Linked DNA regions of Notamacropus eugenii. The protein of the gene in region 2 purifies or fractionates together with the protein of the main gene of each other region. This does not show direct contact. Links are inferred from orthologs where the notes say so. Each region holds a gene or a part of one and is shown on either strand. Other genes may lie near its edges. The genes, in order: CNNM4, PTP4A2 and CNNM2.

The links.
Region 1: the proteins of PTP4A2 (region 2) and CNNM4 purify together in Homo sapiens (affinity purification with mass spectrometry; 6 studies listed by BioGRID and IntAct, counting the BioPlex papers as one, with this or other methods). This does not show direct contact. The link is inferred for Notamacropus eugenii from reciprocal best matches to the Homo sapiens genes PTP4A2 and CNNM4.
Region 3: the proteins of PTP4A2 (region 2) and CNNM2 purify together in Homo sapiens (affinity purification with mass spectrometry; 4 studies listed by BioGRID and IntAct, counting the BioPlex papers as one, with this or other methods). This does not show direct contact. The link is inferred for Notamacropus eugenii from reciprocal best matches to the Homo sapiens genes PTP4A2 and CNNM2.

What each region holds. Positions count from the first base shown.
Region 1 is NC_092872.1:523,577,749-523,584,779, forward strand, and holds the start of CNNM4 (metal transporter CNNM4), read right to left. Parts: upstream 3,102-7,031; 5' UTR 3,087-3,101; coding exon 1,694-3,086; intron 1-1,693. UniProt on the Homo sapiens protein: Probable metal transporter. The interaction with the metal ion chaperone COX11 suggests that it may play a role in sensory neuron functions. May play a role in biomineralization and retinal function.
Region 2 is NC_092876.1:77,910,202-77,917,589, reverse strand, and holds the start of PTP4A2 (protein tyrosine phosphatase type IVA 2), read right to left. Parts: upstream 3,022-7,388; 5' UTR 2,986-3,021; coding exon 2,890-2,985; intron 1,416-2,889; coding exon 1,323-1,415; intron 1-1,322. Other genes in the region: uncharacterized protein, read right to left, coding at 3,542-3,630.
Region 3 is NC_092872.1:181,110,511-181,117,867, forward strand, and holds the start of CNNM2 (metal transporter CNNM2), read left to right. Parts: upstream 1-4,336; 5' UTR 4,337-4,481; coding exon 4,482-6,093; intron 6,094-7,357.

The DNA.
Region 1 (7,031 bases), on a different chromosome or scaffold from region 2:
AGAATAGTTTTTACATTTTAAAATGCAATAACTTTATTTGAAACTTTATTTCAAAATGTAAAAATGGTTCACAGGCCATACAAAAAAGCTTGCCCACCCCTCACCTAGTCCAACCCTCTCATTTTATAGAAGTTCATGAAAATGGAGTGGATTGTTAAATCATAATTAGTGGCAGAATCAAAATTTTAACTCAGGCCCTCTGACTCCAAATCCAAACCTCTATCCCAAAATGTGGATTTAATCTGCCTAACTATATAAAAGAGCATCCTTGGAGTCAGGAAGACCTAGTTAGCTGGGTCCAAGTCCCACCTAAGATGCATCCTGCCTTTTAAAGCTCTCTGTAACCTGGCCCCTTTCCTACCTTTCTAGTCTTCTTACACTTCCATCTCCTCCACATACTCTAAGATCCAGTGTTACTGGTCTCCTTGCTGTTCCTGGAAAAAAAATCAAAACATTCCATCTCCCTCCCCACTCCATGCCTTTTTCTTGGCTGTCCCCCAAGACCAAAAAGCACGTTTAATGCTAGGAAAAGGGGAGCCTATGGACATTACTATTTACATGTGGTCTCCTTTAGAATGTAAACTCTTTAAAGCAAGGGACTGTTTAGTCCTATCTTTGAATCCTGAGGCATTATGGAGGGTTGGTAAACAGTAATCACTTAATGAAAGCTGGTAGGGTGACTGGGGGGTGGGGTGGGGTAAGGGAATAACCAGATAAGAAATCACAAAGGGGGTAGGGGTGGGGTGGTCACACTTCAGCAACAGAACCAAATAATTCTGAGTACTACCCATCACCCCAGCTCCTGCTGCTCCCCGTTCTAGCCCGACACCAGCAATCCAGTCAGTTCCCCAACTTGACTCTGCTCCATGTTCCAGAAATAACTTACTGGGTCCTACCTCCCTTCCAGTCCCAAACTAAGGTTCAGAAGTCATTCCAAGGATAATGGGTGCAATTCAATCTATCTATGGCTCCCTTGACTGGAAAGGAAATGAGTCCAAAAGGAGGTGTCCCTACCTACCAGAAAGGGGACTTGGAACCAGAGACAATTGTGATTTGCAAATGGAAACCTCAGAAAAAGCCTGCCTGGTTCAGGTGAAAATTTTGTTTTCATCTCCTCCAAAAATGCCCGTTTTATTCCCTTTCAGTTTCCTTGCTGCTGAAACCCTAAGATATGTTCTAGTTCATAAATGACTTCTTGACAGTGTAGCTTGAGCCTGGATAAAAGCTTTGATGGAAGGAAGGGGATGTGTGTGCATTAGGTTTGGGACTGGTGAGTAAAACTCTCCTATTGCCTTTACAGTCAGCCTCTTGAGAGGTAGCCAAGAACTGATGAGTCGGAAAAGTACAGAGCAAGAGAAGGCCCATTAAATATGCCTAAAAGACCAATGAAGAGAGGCTGATGTCTTGGGCTTAGGAAGCTATGACACTCCTATTCCAAACACTGAATAATCTGCCTGCATTCCACTGAATTTTTAAAGCCCTCAAAATGTTATTTGGAACTCTCCCCATTCCACCACCTGAAGTAATGAAACAAGGGATAGATTCTCCTAAATGCTTTAGTTCATCCCAGAGGCAGTCTCTCAGAGTAACAGGAGGTGATGGAGAAGAGAGCACAGGCTACATACAAACAGAATCTGTCACAGCAGGCATAACAAGATTTCACAAAAAGACTTAATAGTCCACTAGGTCTTACCCTTCTTGAACTCCTCTAGCATGGCATCCAGTTTGGTGTCATGAAAGACAAAGTGAACTGGATGGTTGTAGAAGCGGGTGATGGTTTTCAGAGGAGTGCAGTCGTCTGGGTCCACAAAGGCCAGATCCTTGACATAGAGGATATCTACAATATTGGACTGTTCGTCCTCAAACACTGGAATGCGAGTGTACCCACTTTCCATGATCTCTGACATAGTGTTAAAGTCCAGGATAGCATCACTTCTGATCATGAAACAGTCATGGAGCTGGGTCATGATATCCTCCACCGTTTTGGTCCTCAGTTCCAGGGCACCTTGGATCATGTTGAGCTCTTCCTTCACCAGATCATTGTATGGTTCAGTCACCTTCAGCATCTCCATCAGCTTTTCCCTGTTGTAGACTGTACCAATCTCCTGACCAAGAACATAATCCAAAACCTTGCTGATGGGAAAACTTAAGGGGAAGGTAATTAGCATAAACAATTTCGTGACATTGATTGTGCTGGCCCCCACAGCCAGGCCATGCCGGGAACATAATGCCTGGGGTACAATCTCTCCAAAGATGACAATGCCAATAGTGGAGGAGGCCACAGCTACCACTCCAGATCCCAGTAGGTTGTCCAGAAGGATTGTGAGTGAAGTGTTGACCAGCACGTTGCCCAGAAGCAGGGAACAGAGAAGGTAGTTCCCCTTCCTTCGAATGGGCTCAATCTTTCGGGCATACCTTCTCTCTTTCTCCTTGCCACAATTCTGTATGATCCTTAGTTCCATAGGATCCAAGGCCATGAGACCTAGATTGAGGCCGGAGAAGATGCCGGAGAGCACCAGCAGCACCACGACCAGTACAATGTGCAGCCAGAGGGGCAGGAACTTACGCTTATCCTCCATGAGGAAGACCAGGGAGTCCTTGCCGGGCCACCTCAGCCACTTCCCCCCACTCCAGGTGCACAGGCCGTAAAGCCTCGCATTCTCACTCCTCCTTAGGAACTTGGTTTCCAGGATCAGCAGCGCGTTCGAGTTGTCCCTGCTCAGGTTGACCAGCTGGTGGACCATCAGGTCCTTGGTGACCCCCATGCAGAAGTTGGATTGGTGGACATCCTGCATCGTCTCCAGCTCCGTGAAGGTGATGTGGCCATGGTTTAAGGTGTCCAGGTTGAGGCCATACAGCCTCAGCCTCACCTGGCTGCCCTCGGAGACGAAGAGGATGCCCTCCGGGTTGGTCCCGCACGTCTTGTTGCAGCCTATCAGCCTCATGCCCAAGATTTTGGGCTCGTCCTGGCCCCGGGTACCCCGGACCCAGAGCAGCAGTCCCAGCGCCGCCAGGAGGAGGCGCCCTCGGGCCCGTCCTCCCGCCGGGCCCGGGCCCAGGCCCCCGCCCCCGCTGCCCGGCGCCATATTGCTGCTGCCGCCGCCGCCGCGCCCCAGGGCCCCCAGCCCCCCGCCGCGCGGCCCCGCTCAGCGCCGCCGCTCCTGCTGCTTCGCTGCCGCCGAGCCAACTGCCCGGGCCGCGGGCCTGACGTCACACCGGCGGCCCGCCCCCTCAGGGCCACAGACACACACCCGGTCCCACGCCCCCTCCGCCGGGAGCCACGCCTACTTCATTTGCATGTCACCGCCTACTTTAAACCCCCTTCCTCCTTCCTACTTCTCTTCCCTCCCTTCGGGGATGCCGGCACCTATTGCCCTGGTTTAAGGGGGTCTGGGTTTTTAAGGTGGACCTAGGCTGGGCAGGGATCGTACGATTTTTGAAGGGAGTGGTGAAAAGGAACATTAAAGGTCATCTAGTCCAGCCTCCTCGCTGTACACATAAGGAAAGGGAGGGAGGCCCGGAGGGAAGTGCCCAAGGTCACCCAGGGTGTAAGTCACAAGATTAGGATTTGAACCTAGGACAGGTTGGCGTCTCGCTCTCCACGTCTTGATTTTGCTCCTTAGAACTATCCCAAATTCATACAACTCTAGAAGTGGGAGAGGCCTTAGAAGTCACCAGGTTCAAGCTAGGGCCATTCCGAGAGCCTGCTGCCTTCGGTATCTCCCCCTGCCCACCCATCCCCCACATGGCTTTTAAACTGACTTCCTAAAACACAGGTCTGACCGGGTCACGCACAACCTCCCCCCACCCCCAAAGCAAACAAAACAGCTCCAGTGGCTCCGTTATCTCCATGATCAAATATAAAATCCTATGTTTGGTGTTCAAAGTCTCATAATCTGCACACACACACACACACACACACACACACACACACACACAGACACACACACACACACACACACAGACACACACACACACACACACACAGACACACACACACACGCACGCACACACACACACACACACACACACACACACACACACACACACACACTCCCCTCAGTCCAGCGTCATAAACCTTATTGTTTCTGAACTAGACACTCTCACGTCCTCAGACATTTTCACGGGTGATGGATTTCTCTCCCTCCTCCATCTGTCTCCTGGCTCCCCTGGCCTCCTTCAAGTCCCAGCTAAAATCTCACCTTCTACGGTATGCCTCTTCCGTCCCCTTTATCTAGTGCCTTCCTCGTTCATTATCTCCAATGTACTCTGCCCGTGCCTTATTTGTAGATAGCTATTTGTATGTTCAGGAGTTCAAATCTCAACTCAGACACTTACTAGCTGGGTGGCCCTGAGCAAGTCCACTTAACCCTGTTTGCCTCAGTTTCCTTATCTATCAAACAAGCTGGTGAAGGAAATGGTAAACCACTTCCGTATTTTTGTCAAGAAAACTCCAAGTGGGGTCACAAAGAGTCATGTGACTAAAAATGACTGAACAGCAACATTTACATGTTGTCTCCCCTATTAGATTATGAGAACCTTAAATCAGGGACTTTTTTTTATTTGTTTTTAAGTCCCTGGTGCATAGTACCTGGCACATAGCAGGTGCTTAATAAGTGCTAGTTGGCTGACAGATAAGGAAACTGAGGCCCAGGATTATACAAGTAAACCAGAGGAGCAGCAGGATTTGAAACCAGGTCATCTGAGTCTACATCACCTCATGTGGATCCTAGAAGGGACACCTCTATGATGCTATACTACTTCTTGCTAGGCTTCAGTTCCCTCATCTGTAAAATGGGGCAATTGATGACTCTAAGGATTTTCCTGCTTCTTATGGATGCCTGCACATGCCCAAACACAAAGCAGTCATATTGGAGGGGGAAAAATGCTGAACATCTAGAGCAGCTATTAATCTCCTGGGTGACTTTGGACAATTCACTCTACCTCTCTAGGAGGACGGAGGAGTGGACTAGAGGACCTATAAAATCCTTCTTTTACAACTAAGAGAAAGGAGAAAAGACAGATTAAAGTTCAGGCCTCCTGACATTCAGTCCAGCACTTTTCCCATAACATTGCAATGTTTTCTTTCGCGTTTCCTCATTCTTTTCATTACATTCAACAAATATCTATTAAGCATCTGCTGTGAATAGAGAACTGAGTTAGGAGCTGGGGTAGATAAAAAATTTGATAATGCCTGGTCACTACCCTCCTAGAGATTAGGCTCTTTTTTCTCAGCCTGCCCAAAATTCCAATGTATTTTCTGTTTTCCTTTCCAACATAATGTATGCTTGCAATATTAATATAAACAAATCCCTCTAGAAAAGGGCCACAAGTCAGGGAGACTAAAATTACCTCAAGTATCCCATTTATCAAGGTTCCCTTACAGCTCCTCTCTAGGACTGGTCAAATTTCCACACAATTACAGCTTACCCCCTTTTCTTTCCAGGTTAATAGTTCACTTTTAATGTGATTTATGTCCATCAAAATTACACTTAAGGAATAACTGGTAAAAGGATTTCCTTTCCCACTTTTTCCTCCCCATGTCATGAAAACTCCAGGAAGGTCCCACTCTGTTAAGCTTATAGCAGAATTTGGACAAGTCCCATTGAATCAAGAAGCATGGATGGGTTGGTCACCTGTTTCTGTAGAGGGATTAACCACATCAGTGAGACCAGTGACTCTTTGCAGTAGCAAAATTGGAGTGGGCCACCTTGGTTAGATAGTGTCAGAATTAGGAAAACCTAGTCCATTTCACTGGGCTAATCCAGGATCAGGACAAGCTTCCCTCATTCATGTGTTACTATTAGGATCATGGAATCAGATCTAGAGCTAGAAGAGGCCTCACAGGCCATCTTCTCCAAATCACTGACCACTCCCATTCTACAGGGTGAGGAAACTGAGGTGTAGAGAGTTTAAGGGATTTGCTTGAGGTCATATAGGTACAAAGTGCTAAGTGGCAAAACCTCCATGTGAACTCAGTCAGCAAGTATTTATTAAGCATTTACCAAGCACAATGCTAAAGCTGGGATTACAAAGAAAGGCTCCCTGCCCTTAAGGAGTCAGTCAGCTCACATTCTATCTGTGCAATGGGGATTTCATTCCTGGATTACTTGGGTATAAAGTACTTTGTAATTTGCAAAGTGTTTCATCAATAGAAGCTATTCATACTATTCCTAGTGCTTTGAGGAAAGGAGTGTGGACTGCCATTACCAGCACCCTAATTAATTTCTCTCTCTCTCCTCTCTCTCTCCCTCCCTCATTCTCTCTCTCTCTCTCTCTCTCTCTCTCTCTCTCTCTCTCTCTCTCTCTCTCTCTCTCTCTCTCTATCCCTTTGTCTCTCCCTCCCTCTCCCTCTCTCTCTCCCTCTCTCTCCTTCCTCTCCCCAAATTCTGTGGGGCAGTTGAAGACTATGACAGATTGCAGGTCTGCAGGTGGGCAGACCAGATGAAGAATGAGAAATGGGAGTTTAGATCAAAAAAGTCACTTCCCTGAACTGTCCAGACTAAACCTTTGCACTCAGTCATTGAATAATCATTTATTGAGTACTAGACACTTGAAGTATGAATTCAAAGTGGATCTGCCCAGACAAAATCAGTCCAAGGGAGCTCCAAAACACGTAGAAGCACAGATTTTAGGGAGGAACTCTGACTTTTTGTCTTAAGGGCCCCCATATCAGAGATATTTTCCAGACTCTATAGGCACAAAATCTATTCTATCTCCCTCACTCCACCCCCAAAATGCTGACACTTCTATTTCTTTTGCTTATCCAATTAGGCATTAAGATTAGGGAGGAGGAAGAGACAGGAAGAACAATGAATGGACTGGCAGGTGGGCCTCCTGGGTTTCATGACCACCTCTGCATCTGGTAGGGCATTATTGGATGGCCCAGAAAACAGGATGACAGTAGTGCTTGTGGCAGGGCCTGACCTGAGCCAGTCTGTTTGACGACACTTGCCCCAGTTCTCTCTCATTCTGTTGAGCAAGAAGATGATATCTGACTTGAGGAATGCTCACAGAGCAGACCCTGCTTG
Region 2 (7,388 bases):
GTTTTTTCTTTCTGTCTTTAACCAGAGGGATATTTAAGCAAGAAAGAGAGCAATAGTGATGCCTCCCCCAACCCCCCCCCCCAAAAAAAAGCCAAATAGCAAGAAGCCTAAACAGGCAGTTTTGAAAGTAAAGTAGAATTTATAAAATACTTTTTTAAAAAAGTAACCATACAAAATAGATTTTTCACTTTTCTATGACAATACTTTTTATATTCTGCTACGTATATGGAAATGCCCTTTGTCACAGAAATTCAAAATTTTAGCAATTTACCTAATAATCCAGGAGTCAAATGAGACTGCTAAAAAATTATTTTTGGCACTATATTGAATCAGCACTTTAAAATTTTTAAATAAATTTTAAAAAGATCACATACTAAAGAATACAAAGAGATTACAGGTACCTTTAGTAACCAGATTAATGAAATCACTGGAATGCTGAATTAAATTTAACAACATCAAACATATGAAAGCTCATAAAAGGGATCAACTTTACCACTGTTATACAAACTTAATTTCTACTGGAGGATAAAAAGACTACATGATATTGTCACGTGACAATTTTCATGAGGGGCGACCACATATTGTCAAAACTCTCTCAGTACCGTACCACTTTCCATGTATGCACCTGACAAATACTCTAAGTACTCTATAAAGTAAAGGTGATGTATTACTACTTTCATTAGTATTTAGGTAAGTGAAAGGGAAGTTGGTTTTTAGTTCAGTAATAGCCAATGCTTTATTGTCAGATTTAGTTATCTAAGAAATCTAATCATGACACAACTTCTCAGACCTAACACAGTGTCATCATCTATGCTGATTACTTTCTAAGGTAAAGCTGCCTTCTGATCCTTCTGATTCTCCCTCTTGTCTCCCAAACTATCAAAAAATTAAAAAGGAATAATTTTGTACTTATAGAAGAAATATATTATCAAATGTAACTTATGAAGAGCTGATGGAAATTACTTCCAGTTAGATTTAAATGAAAGCTGAATATCACATTTATTAAAATCCAAAGAAAAATGCAAATTTCCACCTTCTTGAGATAAATAGGGACTTTTAGTTCACATGTATTTGGTAAAAAATGTCCTGCAATTCTAGTCTTTTTAGATGAATTAAAATTTTACCAATTTACTAATAATCCAGGAGTCAAATGAGATGGCTAAAAATTATTTTTTGGCACTATATTGAATCAGCAATTCAAAAAAACAATTTCAACTTTTAGCAATCTAATTTGGCTTTGCTGTGTACAAACTTGGCCTGTATAACTATATCAGTATTTAGATTTACTTAATAGTGGAAAATTATAAATACTACACACTCACTAGAACCTGGATTCCTTCTTTTTCAACTGGAGCTTTATCATACGTAGCATCACAAACTCGGACCAAAGTTGTCACACCATACTTCTTAAGTTCCTTTAAAGAAAAACAAATACAAGTATATTTGCTATCTAAGGTTTAAACAAAAGTTTAAAAAAGAACTGAAGGAATGCTATAGATTATCTAATGAAGCCTGTTCACTTTATAGATGAAGGAGCTGAGGCCTAGAAGGAAGAAATTACTTGCCCAAGATCATTCATATTAGTTCAGTTTAATGCAACAACCATTTATTTCTTAGGTGTCCATTATGTGCAAGGCACAATGCTAAGTATACAAAGATGAAAAAGGACACAATGCTGACTTCAAAGAGCTATGGATCAAGTAGGGTAGAGGTGAGACCATACACCAGGTTACCTGACTCCTAATCCAGAGCTCTTCCCTCTAATAGCACTTTTCTGAAACTCTACTTTAGAAAAGCTGTGAGGTATGGCAGAAGATAGCAAAGTACAATCACAGCCTGGCTCCCTGCTCCTCTATATGTTCTTCGTTCTACTTTCACCTGGCATCTCTGCCACCATCACTTAACAGCTGCAAGAGATGAGGGAACCTCAAAGATGAGGTTCCTCTGCTATCTCTGAAGTGGATGGCCTACAACTAGAAACAACATGAGATAGTACTGAGCCAGATCTAAAAAGTCTTAGGTCACTGAAATGCCATGACTCCATTACAGGCCTCTGGTCAACTTGCATACCATGTGCAGCAAATAAAATCGCTTAAAGAATTACAAATATAAATAAATGAGAACACTGATAGCCTGTAAGGAAAGTAAATCATCTACATAAATCATAGTATTATTAAAATGATTAATGGACTATTTTTAAAGCATAAATCCAGGAGATTTGAAACCACTCTATGGAATCAGCAATTAAAAAACTTTCAAAATACAGATAAAATTTCATTATAGTGAACTCTATAGGACTCAATCATATGCCAGTTGTATTCGTGTTAAAAAAAAAAAACAACAAACCATCGTACACTGAGAAAAATCATATTCTTAGTATTCAGGACACGGAAATTAAGGAGAACAGAAATTTGGCAACAAATTAGCCAATGAAAATAACACTCCAATTTCAGTAGGAACAGGAAGAGATTCTGCAAATATTAATACCCTGTCCCATACCTTCATTCCAATACTACCCCTGAGTTCTGGAGTCATCTTTGGGTGGCTGTTCTTCAGGTGAATGGTCCAGGGTTTTAAGGGAGCTTCAGGTCAGGGTACCTGGGAGTGGAAGGGCAATTGCTACTTGGAGACATGGAAAAGTATCAGTGATTGTTTTAAGACCAAGACCCAGAAAAGGCCATACTGGGTTAGATTGGAATCCTTGTGGGAGTCCTTTTCCAGCTCTAAAAGCCATGATTATGTTGTAAACAGGTCAAACAAGGCTTACAGCTATCCCTCATGGATGGAAAAAGCTTTGTGGTACAAGAACCTCTTTATAAAGACATTCACTATAATGGGTTTTTAAACCTACAAAATGAATCCCTAAAGTGGACTGCACCGCACTCTTACCTCTGTGAACTTGTTGAGTGTTGCATTGGTAGGATTGTGGGTAATCAGAAAACGCATGTTCTCATAAGAGATCTCCACAGGGGCTGGACGGTTCATTATGGCAGACAAAAAGTGTGTATGCGTGTGAGAGAAAGAGAGAGACAGGGGAGAGTAGGTATGTGTGGGTGTGTGTTTGAGGAAGAGAGATGGGAAAATGGGGGGAAAAAATCAATAACCCTTGAAACGTTTCACAGCAGAAAACATTAAAAAGACCACAAAAATGCCTATTATTGATCAGTCTTCTCTAGTCAGTTTGTTCCTTCCTTAAGGAGTTTCTTCAGGATAAGCAGATCTATTTAGAATCCACTGGAATTCAGATTCAACTTGGGCCTCAATGACTGCAGATGGTTACCTTCAACCTCCAAAATTCCAACTGCCTGCAACTTCAGCGACCTTTCCTACATTTAGGCACTGGTGAGGCAAGGTGAAAGTATAGACCCGCTCTGCACTTGTGTTTTCTTGATGCTTAACTTTGCTGGAGTCGTTAAAGGGAATATGCTTCCAATATGAAAAAAAATATAGATATATGCCAAATTTTTCTGAGGCCAATCTTGGTGTCCGGAGTCTTCAAGGCAATGTTAATTATGGCACATAGAAGCCTCAAGCTCACTTGTCAGCGAAAGCACTGTGCTGAGCCTGGCAGAAGTCTGCCTGCACGCTCAGAATCGCCATAAACGTGCGGAGTGAATTCCAACAGAGAACCTACAGGAAAGGAAAAAGGCGAAGTGTGTAAGTAGTCAGCTGACAGCATTATAGCACACAATGCTATAAAGAAATAAATTCAATTCAACAAGCATTGGGAATACAAAAGCCCACCTGCAGCTTCCATTCTAACAGTGGAAAACAGCATAAATACAATGCACTCTTTACTATTCATTCTAAGTTACCATAATAAACATGGAATTATAGAAGAGCACTGGATATACACAACTGGATATGCAGAAAACAAATTCTAAAATATATGTAGGTATACTTTGCTTTAACGAAGTTATTCATTAAAAAGTGCTGAGGAAACTATCAAATTTTTACATGTGTAATTCACTATTTAAAGTAATTTTACCTTCAGATGGATTCCTTCCATGATACAATCACCACCCCCTCCCCTCCCCTCCCCTCCCCTTACTCATGGCCCTTGCAAGTCAAGTTTTCATATATTTCCTATTTGTTTAAAGCAGATTACAAGAACTAGAAGACTGGGGAGAGGGATTCACACATTTATCCTTGAGACTGTAAACCTCTTTTACTCCCCACAAAATAACAACTGGCTCCCAACCAGAGTGACCACACCTCTTTTTTTTCTCATTTCACCTTTTAACAACTTCTGTTCCTACTTCACGGAGGCAAGAGTATAAAATCATAGAGCTGACATAAGGAAGTTTTACACCTCCATCACTAGCCTCCCCCCAAATTTTCACCAAAAAAACCCCAAAAAAAACAAAACAAGAAAAAAAGGCAAAGTTTTCCAACATTTTAAGTCAGAATAACTGTGCCAGGGGTCTGACATATGCACTTAGTTGGTTAAGACTATTCATTTTCTTTGAGCACTCTTAGGTCTGTTTGGTTTCCTCAACTAGAATATAAACTCCTCTAATGGGATGATGTTTTTCTTCCTGTCTCCCCGCTCAGCATACTCCTAGGGCAGATCTACAAGCCTTCTACCAGTTTTCAATAGTTGTGAACAAAAAAAACTCACTTCCCTTCAGCCCACCTGGTAATGAGACCCAAAGTTAACCAGACTGGCCGTCCCCTGGTGAACTTCACAGTCCTTCAAAACATCCTTTCCAAGGCAAGAGCACCCACCTGTGCCAAATGCAGCACACCCAGAGAGGAAGAACAGAGCCCACAGCCACATCTACTGTGATGAAGCACAATGGAAAACCCGCAGTGAACTTCCCACTCCTTAAGAATCCTTGGTTTTATCCATTCAGGTGCTCCTCGACTGACACTGAAGCCAAACTATGGATGGCTAGATGGACAAATAACCTAAGACGATTACGATGCTCCCAAAATTCATCACCCTGAAGCCGACCTCTGGTGACAGCTTTTCCCATCTGGGAGGATCCAGACATGGTTTCAACTTTCAATGTGGAAACTCCCATTTTTAACTACTAAACTTAAGAAAGTTGCCTGGCACACCAAAAAGTTAAGTGACCTGGATCCCAGAGCTAGTATGAGTCAGAGGCAGGACTTAAACCCATGTCTTTCTGACTCCAAAGCCAGTCCCCTTCCATCACCTGATGCCTCTCTCAAGACATTTATAAACTTATTTGTTAATTTATTCTCGCTAATATCCAAATTCTCTAAAAGGAAGGGAAAGAAGCAGCAAGGGGTTTTGCCCAATTAATAAATAAGAATAAAGTTCATAGGAAAGTAACAACATCATGCCCAGGAAAACCCTAATCTCCAAACACTTAAGCTAATTCTTTACTCAATCTTCTTTTATAATTTGTTTTAACTGCATGGATTCTGTTATCATTGAAAAAAGTACAAAAATAAAACATTCTTTAAATTTAGAAGACACAGTATCTCAAATGGCATTCATACCACTATCTTATCCATTAAAGGCATCAAACACTGCAAAAGCAAAAAGTTCTTAAACTTAAGGAGAGTGAAAACATACATACTACCACTCATACTCTTCTCAGGTATTTGTAATTTTAACACAAACCAAAAACATCAATCTCAAATCATCCAACCAGATCTGTCTTTAAAATACTGGCCACAGAATTACAGGATCCTAGATTTGGAAAGAACCTTAGAGATCACTAGATCCAATCCTTCATCAAGTGAAGAAACTGAGAGGGAGGGACAAGGGCAAGGTCATAAAGGTACTTGGAAGAACAGGGGTCAGTCTCCTAGAACCCAGAGTCTCCTGGCAGTGAGTCCAGAATTGTGAGTTAACAAGGTGTGTCAATTATCATAGGGAAAGGCTGGGAGAAGGGGGGAACAGCCCCCTCCCACAGAGAAGGAATTCATCACAATCTCTTTCATTGCAGTCTGTTTTCTTCACATATTTGCTAAAATTGTTCATCAGTTACTCTGTGAATGTACAATCATTCTTTTTATGTTATAAGAATAACTATTCAAAGCAGTTCACAGCAAAACACAAGGAAATTCTAACCTGCTTTGAAGCCCTTTGGTACCACAGATATCATCAAGGTTAAATGTGTCTGTCAATTGAGAAAAAAGCAATGAAAAGACTGCATTGTACTGATGGCCAAGCTTTAAAAGTAAAGACTCCAGAATTAAGTTTTCTACCTGGATACTAGCATTTGTCTGCTTGGAGAACAGCGAGCTTTCTCACATATTTCTTTTCCAACTCCCTTCTGGAAGGATCACTTCCAGGAACGATAATTTACTGTGACATTTTTTCCCTTAACATAGAGATCCCCAACACAAGAAGTCATGCCAAAAGAAAGTGTTTTATAAGTGTTCATAGACCCATGGTAATAAAATTAAGCTTCTCTTCGCTATCCCCTCACACCCCCAAAGAAGTGTTTGGCTACATCAGTGGTGAACCTTTTGCAACCTGTCAGTTCATTTAAACTAAGGCAAGTACCTTTGGAACTCATAATAATTCAAAGCAACAAGACTCTAAGAGAGCATGAACAATCTACTACAACTGGGAAGAACTCAAAAGTTGGAGACTCCCATGGTTCAGCAAATAGTTAGCACCTGTAAACGCTCCAGGAAGACTTTTAAAAGAAAGTTGTATTTTTGGCATTAATTTTGTTTTATCTATTTAGGGAGAGGGTAAAATTTAAAAATCTGTTCGATTGTTAAAGAGTCTGAATTACTTTAAAGTATCTGACAACCATCCTTTCAGTATTTATAATAACTTGAGATGGTGTGCTGTCAGATGGGCTTAACCAGGGCTTAAATTCATGAGGGAAAGTGGACAGTCAACAGTACAATACTATAAAGGATGCTCAATTAACCCGTTAAAGAAGGCCTGTTGGAAGCTACTCAGTGTCAGACAGTGACAAAAGTTTGTATAGATTTGGAAGGTAATGGCTAAGATAATGGGCCATAAACTACCTTATCAAAATTTTAAGATAAAAATAAGTATTTGATAAGTATATAAAAATGGGGGGAAAGGGGATCCTTAAGAAGAGAGAGGAAAGCAAACCTACACCTAGACTAAAGTCCTAGCTTAGTTATTATGTAACAAGGTCACTTAATAACTATTTCCTCATCTGTAAATTGTGTTGTTGTTCTACTTGATCTCTACGGGGTCCCTTACAGTTCTAACAATGTATATATGGGGACCAACCACAAAATCATTCAGTACTGTATCTGTTCCAGGAGGCAATGTTGTGTTGGAAATCAGATCTGGAGTCAGAAGACTTGGGCTTGAGTCCCAACTCTGCCACTTTAACTGGCTGTATGACCTAGGGCAAATCTCTCAATTTCTTTAATTTGTAATTTGGTATTAATCCTACTTCCCAGCATTGTTGAGA
Region 3 (7,357 bases), on a different chromosome or scaffold from region 2:
CCCTTTCCATTGGAGGAATAGACTTAAGTTTAGGTATCAAGTGAACCCACTTAAATTCAGTTACTTAGACTAGGGACAGTAATGAGCTTCAGACGACTTTGGTAAGTGTAAAAATCCTCTTTTCCTTCTAAGAAAGCCCATTTACATTTCAGAGGCACCGTAATTCTTTGTTTTTCAGCTAACAAAAGGTCAGTGTGACCCTTCTGATATATATATATATATGTATATATATATATATATATATATATATACACATATATGTATGTATGTATATATGTGTATATATATATATATATATATATATATATACACATATATGTATGTATGTATATATGTATATGTATACTGCTAGGGAATCCCACATTCCTAGTTATACCACTAATAACAACTGATGTTTTACAGATCTTATGGATTGCCAAGCACTTTAGTATATTATCTCATTTGAACTTCACAACAACCATGTGAGGTAGGTGTTATTCACCTTTTATAGATAGATGGTTGGGGAGTGTGTATTCATTCTTCGTTGCCGAAGAAGACCATGCCATCAGAGAAATAATGACATGACTTTGCACCTGACTTTGTTTTGAGTGAGTGAGGGCTGTGTAGGTCACCAGCTTCACTTCTCCTCCAGAGCCATATGAATCCAGTGACCAGATATTCATCAGGATGACAAGAGATGACCCAGGATGAGGCAACTGGGGCCAAGTGACTTGCTCAAGGTCATACAGCTAGTAAGTGTCAAGTGTCTGAGGTGAGATTTGAACTCAGGTCCTCCTGACTCCTGCACTAGTGCTCTATCCACTGAACCACCTAGCTGCCCATTTTACAGATAAGGATAAGGCTGAAAGAATTGTAATGACTCGCTCCAAAGGACTGGCAAGTGTCTGGGGTTGGATTTTTTTGTACCCCCAGGTCTTGCTTAAGTTCAGTGCTTGATCTACTCTTATTGGTCCCCCCCAACCCACCTTCGGCCCCACTACCATTGACCCCAATACTGTACTGCCAGTTTAGTTTTGAAAAGTGCAAGAAATCTATTTGGCACTTCTGTCCCACACCTGACTTGTTTTGGAAGGGGTATACTTAACATTTACAAGTCTTCAAATCCTCTTCTCTTATAGGTATCTTGCACCAATTCTGGCTTTGCAGCTATGAAGGGGCAGCTAGGTGGCGCAGTGGATATATCAAGTGCTGTTCCTGGAGTCAGAAGAATTTGAGTTAAAATTTACCCTCAGACACTTACTAGTTGTGTGATCCTGGGCAAGTCACTTAACCCTGTCTGTCTCAGTTCCTTCACCTGTAGAATGAACTGGAGAAGGAAATGGCAAACTACTCCATTATCTTTGCCAGAAAACCTCAAATGGGGTCACCAAGAATTGAACAAAACTGAAATGACTGAACAAAACAAGGTATGAAGGGAGATTTGGGGACCTTGGGGTTTCCTCAGGGGAAATCTCTCTTGTACCCAGCTTCTTATATTCTTATGTTCTCTTACACTAAAAATCTCCTCTTCTGCCTCACTGGAGCCTTGGAAGCTGTGCCAATGGAGCACAATCTCTTGTAGTTACTACCAAACTGAAAAGATTTTAAGAATGGGCTTGGTACAACCAGGCTAGAAAAGGGTAAAGATCATCACCAGAAGCTAATCGAGAGCTTCTATGATGGATTTTTAATAATAGTGGTTCTCCACAGTCATCTACTGTTTACTCCTTAGTAGCGGGGTAGGCAGTCAACAAGCATTTATTAAGCATCCACTAGGTGCCTGGCACTGTTGTTGGAAGGACTGACCAGTGAAATTCTGAGATCTTTATGTTATCAAAGTATTTGATCTAAGTCAGGAATTTTTAACCTTTTTAAAAAACTGTTGTAGACCCCTCTGGCAGTCTGGTGAAGCCTATGTGGCACTTCTTAGAACATTATTTTTAAATGCATATCATAAGATACATAACAATGCAAAGGAAGCAAATTATATTGAAATATTATCAAAATGTCTTTTTAAAAACACGTTCATAGACCCTCAGGTTGAGAACTCCTAAGCTGTTTGTGGGTAACTAATTGGTAAAGTGCTTGGAGTCAGGAAGACTAATCTCTCTGAGTTCAGATCTGGCCTCAGACTCTGTGTGACCCTAGACAAGTCACTTAACTGTTTGCCTCAGTTTCCTCATCTGTAAAATGACCTGGAGAAGGAAATGGCAAACCACTTCAGTATCTCTGCCAAGAAAACCCCAAAAGGGGTCATGAAGAGTCAGACATGGCCGAAACTCAACAATAACATGCTATTTCTAAAGCTGCATTAGTCCAAAATTCCTATGCCCTCATTTCTGGTAATTTTTATTTAATTACTTACCTTCGACCATTGACAAGTATCCCTAAAACTCCTTAGTTTTGTTTTTAAATGACATATCTTAGTTTTACTCTTTCAGAGAAAGACAACATTCTGTGTCATGTCTGCCAATCAAATTTTCTCCTTTTAACCTTTGATTTCAAATTCAAGTTTTAAGCATGAAGATGTGTGTAGGTCTGTGTGTGTGTGTGTGTGTGTGTAGGTTTGTGTGTGTGTGTGCGTGTGTGTGTGTTTTGGGGGGAGGGAACCAGGTTAGAATGAGGAAAAATTAATGGAACCAACTACTGTGATATCTTTGGAGCCCTTAAATAAAACTGACCCCGCTCCAAAAAACTTAGCAAAACATATTTGATTTGTGTGCAACATGATCCATCCATCCAAAGGTACAAAATGCACTTGTTTGTTTGTTTTTTAAAAGCTCAAAAAAAGTGCCTTCTTTTAATTTGACAGCCATTCATTGAACACTTATGTGGCAGGCAGGCATTGTACTATACACTAGACATTGCAATAAAATGCAAGTATTACCTCCTTTTACAGATGAGGAAACTGAGAGTCGGTTAACCACTTTCCCAAGGTCATACATAAAGTGGCAGAGGTCAAACCTCCACCTTTCCAGTTCACGGGGCTTCAGCCTGAATCCACACTTCTCAGGTGTGGAGTCCCGAGCTCCTCTGGTGAACATTTAAACCTTCAGTGGTCTGGATCTAGCCTAAATTTTCAAGCTTGTTATCCACCTTCCTCTCCTCACATTGTAAGCCCCAGGCATATACTACCCATCTCCCACCTCTGGGTCTTAGCACTGGCTGTGGTCCTCCATACCTGGAACACTCTCCCCCTTCATTTCCATCCTTAAGATTCCTAGCTTCCTTCAAAGTTTAAAGTATTACTTGATACTTCTAACACTTTAATTAATCTAATAAACCCATTTATTAAGATTATAACTTGTTGATGAATTAAAATTAAAGTGATTTTAATACTGTTAAATTAATACTTGATACTAAAAGACCTCCTCCACGGGAACCTCTCCACCTTCGCTCTCCACCTCCCCCGACTTTATACCTTGTACATGTTTTATTCACTCATACACAAGGTAGAGAGGAGCATTTGCAGCTGGCACAGAAAACATCTGCAGGACAGCTTCGCTGACGGCAGGCGGTGCTGCGGTTCTACCAGCCGCCCGAGGGCGCCTTCTCATGCCAACCTGCTTCTCCCACCGGCGGGCACTCGAAAACACGTGGCTTTGGACGGAGCTGGCCGGTCAGCTGTAGACGATGCTCCTCTGCCCCTTTGCAGTACGCCGCCGTTCACGCCAAGGCAGTGGGATGCCCTGGCACGACCCTGATGCCCTGGGGCAATAAAACGACGTTTAGCTTCACGCACGCTTCCATCGTCCCTTCTCCAAACTGGCTTCTCTAACCCTGCAGAGGCCCCCTGCCAGAGGTGCCACAGCGGGCTCAAGCCCACGCTGCGCCTGCATGAAGTAACGCGGGACAAGCGATGAAAGGACCGGCGGCCAAGGCAGGTACTTGCTCGAGCGAAGAGCAAAATAGCCCCGAGTCTGACACTGCACCTGCAGAACGTGCACGAGCCTCCGTCTACTATCAAGTTCCCAAAGGAGAGCGCCTGGCTGGAGGCTTGCTGAAATTTCATTGGCTAGGCACTGGGCAGCCCCACCTTTTTCCGTCGACCTCGGATCTCTGATTGGTTCATGGGTTCCCACTGGCCACACCTCCTCCCTTCACACATACACAAGAGTCACGCGCCTTGCAGTTGGAAACTTGGCGTGGTGAGGAGGCCGGGGGGGAAAAAAAGTCGCCCCACCCCCTTACCTTGCTATTGGCCCATGGGGCAGCCGGTGGCCACGCCTTCATTCCAGCCCCCTAACTGAGAGGGCGGGTGCTCGCTCCTGAGTGGTCGGCCTAGCTGCCCTTCAAGTTGGAGCCCGACCGCTCCCGCCTCCTCCCCCTCCCCACTCAGGCTAGAGGTCCAGTATTTGGCCCGGGCAGTGTCAGTGTCAGCGAGCGAAGGGGGCAGTGAGGCGCCGGGGGCGGACTCCCGGTGGCACCCCAGCTGAGGTGCCCGTGCCTGCGCCTCGGGCAGCCGGAGAGAAGGATGAAGCCGCAGCCGGAGCAGCCCCCTTATGATTGGCTGTGGCGGTTGTAAGCCCGAAGTAAAGATGGCGGGCGGGCCGGTGGTCGCCGCACTGCCCACTTGGAAGATGGCGGCGCGCCGCAGCCCCAGTGCCCACGGCCGGGAGGTCCTGCGGGTGGTGGCGGGGCTGCTGCTGCTGCTGAGCTGCTGCTGCGGCGGGGGCAGCTGCGCGGGGGCCGGCGAGGCGGAAGAGACGGTGATCATCGGGTTGAGGCTGGAAGACACGAACGACGTGTCGTTCATGGAAGGGGGGGCGCTGCGGGTGAGCGAGCGCACCCGGGTCAAGTTGCGGGTCTACGGGCAGAACATCAACAACGAGACCTGGTCTCGCATCGCCTTCACCGAGCACGAGCGGAGGCGGCAGGGTCACGGGGAGAGGGGGGCCGGGGGCCCCCTGCAGCCGGAGCCGGAGAGCGGCCCCCAGCGCTGCGGCATCCGCACCTCGGACATCATCATCCTGCCCCACATCGTCCTCAACCGCCGCACGTCGGGCATCATCGAGATCGAGATCAAGCCTCTGCGCAAGACGGAGAAGAGCAAGTCCTACTACCTGTGCACGTCGCTCTCCACCCCGCCCGTGGCGGCCGGCGGCCCCGGCTCGGCGGGCAGCCCCGTGGGGGGCAAAGGCGGCCGCGGCGTGGCGGGGCTCCCTCCGCCCCCGTGGGCAGAGACCACCTGGATCTACCACGATGGCGAGGACACGAAGATGATCGTGGGCGAGGAGAAGAAGTTTCTGTTACCTTTCTGGCTGCAGGTGATCTTCATCTCGCTGCTGCTCTGCCTCTCGGGGATGTTCAGCGGCCTCAACCTGGGGCTGATGGCGCTGGACCCCATGGAGCTGCGCATCGTGCAGAACTGCGGCACGGAGAAGGAGAAGAATTACGCCAAGCGCATCGAGCCCGTGCGCAGGCAGGGCAACTACCTGCTGTGCTCCCTGCTGCTGGGCAACGTGCTGGTCAACACCACCCTCACCATCCTGCTGGACGACATCGCGGGCTCCGGCCTGGTGGCCGTGGTGGTGTCCACCATCGGCATCGTCATCTTCGGGGAGATAGTGCCCCAGGCCATCTGTTCCCGGCACGGCCTGGCGGTGGGCGCCAACACCATCTTCCTCACCAAGTTCTTCATGATGATGACCTTTCCCGCCTCCTACCCGGTCAGCAAGCTGCTGGACTGCGTCCTGGGCCAGGAGATCGGCACGGTCTACAACCGCGAGAAGCTGCTGGAGATGCTTCGCGTCACCGACCCCTACAACGACCTCGTCAAGGAGGAGCTCAACATCATCCAAGGGGCGCTGGAGCTCCGCACCAAGACTGTGGAGGACGTGATGACTCCGCTGCGGGACTGCTTCATGATCACGGGAGAGGCGATCCTGGATTTCAACACCATGTCCGAGATCATGGAGAGCGGCTACACTCGAATCCCGGTCTTCGAAGGGGAGCGCTCCAACATCGTGGACCTCCTCTTTGTCAAGGACTTGGCGTTCGTGGACCCCGATGACTCCACTCCCTTGAAAACCATCACCAAGTTTTACAATCACCCTCTGCACTTTGTTTTCAATGACACTAAGCTGGACGCCATGCTGGAAGAGTTTAAGAAAGGTGGGCGAATTGATTACCTCCTTTTGGTTTACTTCTCCTTCCCTGCCCCTCCCCTCCTTCCCCTTCCTTTCTCTTCCCCTGCTCCCCCAAGGTGGTCAGTTGGACTGGAACTCTCCCTCCCTCCTTTCCGTCTTACTGCATAGCCGGGAGGGAGGAGGGAGGGGTGTGTAGATGTGTAAGGACTGGTCCAGGATTCCGAGCTGGGCTTTCAAAATGCACGGGGTCTTAAATCCGTTATTTCACCTTTTAAGGGCAGTCTCCAAGGAACGAATGCTGGGAGTTTGGGATGCGGATGATTATAAGTGCTTTTGCTGCCTTGCTTTGGTTCTGAATGGGGAGGCAGGATTGAGGCGATTTAGGCATGCTGAAGATGTTGACTTGACTTGTGGTTGCAGATTCTCTTGCCTAGTATTTTTAAATAGCTCTTGGGGACTAAGCCCAGCCATTTCCCAAACCCTCGACTTTCCAGGGTTTGGAAAATGCCATTTCTTGTGCTTCATTTCATGGTTGCGTTGAGCCCTTAGGGCAGAACAGGCAGGCTACACGGTACTTGGTTTTTCCTTCTCTGCTCTACCCATGGGGGAAGGGAGAGAGGGAGGTGATCCGAGTACCACAGAAAAATTGAGCCGCCTGGATGTGACCTGCTTCAGTGAGAGAAGAGCTTTTTAGAACCAGGTTAGTTATTAGCTTGTAATTTGGGAAGACCGAAGTTAACCTTTCACTAAGGTTATATCTTTGCTTAACTTTCTTGTCAATTTGTTTTCACGTTTACAGGAAACAACCAATAGAATTTCCAAAGGCAAATATGAGTCCTGCACAAAGCTTGACCCTTAACCTGCTGCATCCCTTTATTAATAGTTGTTCGTTTAGATCTTAGTAATTCTGACCTAATAAATTTTCTTTTTAACCTTGACTGCCCGGTACATTCAGGGGAAGTATGTTAGCAATGCTGGGATCCAAGGTTGTTTGTAGGAAAAAGTAGCCTATATGCTCATGGTATCTTATGTCTTTTTATCATGCAAGGACTTGGTAGCCAGAATCTTTTCTTGTAAAGATAGTAGTACTGGGTTTAAAATAAAAATCAGTTAGTTTATCTTGTAGTGTTATCTTGAAAACAAAGATGCTTGGTTTCTTATGAAAATAGTCTGAGGGCATATATGTTAGCTTTTAATAACTGGCTCCTAACAACACTTTTATTTATTCCTGGAAATACATTTTCTATTTCTGACAGTGTCCCAGCCAAAAAAGTTCACTTTAACGGGTG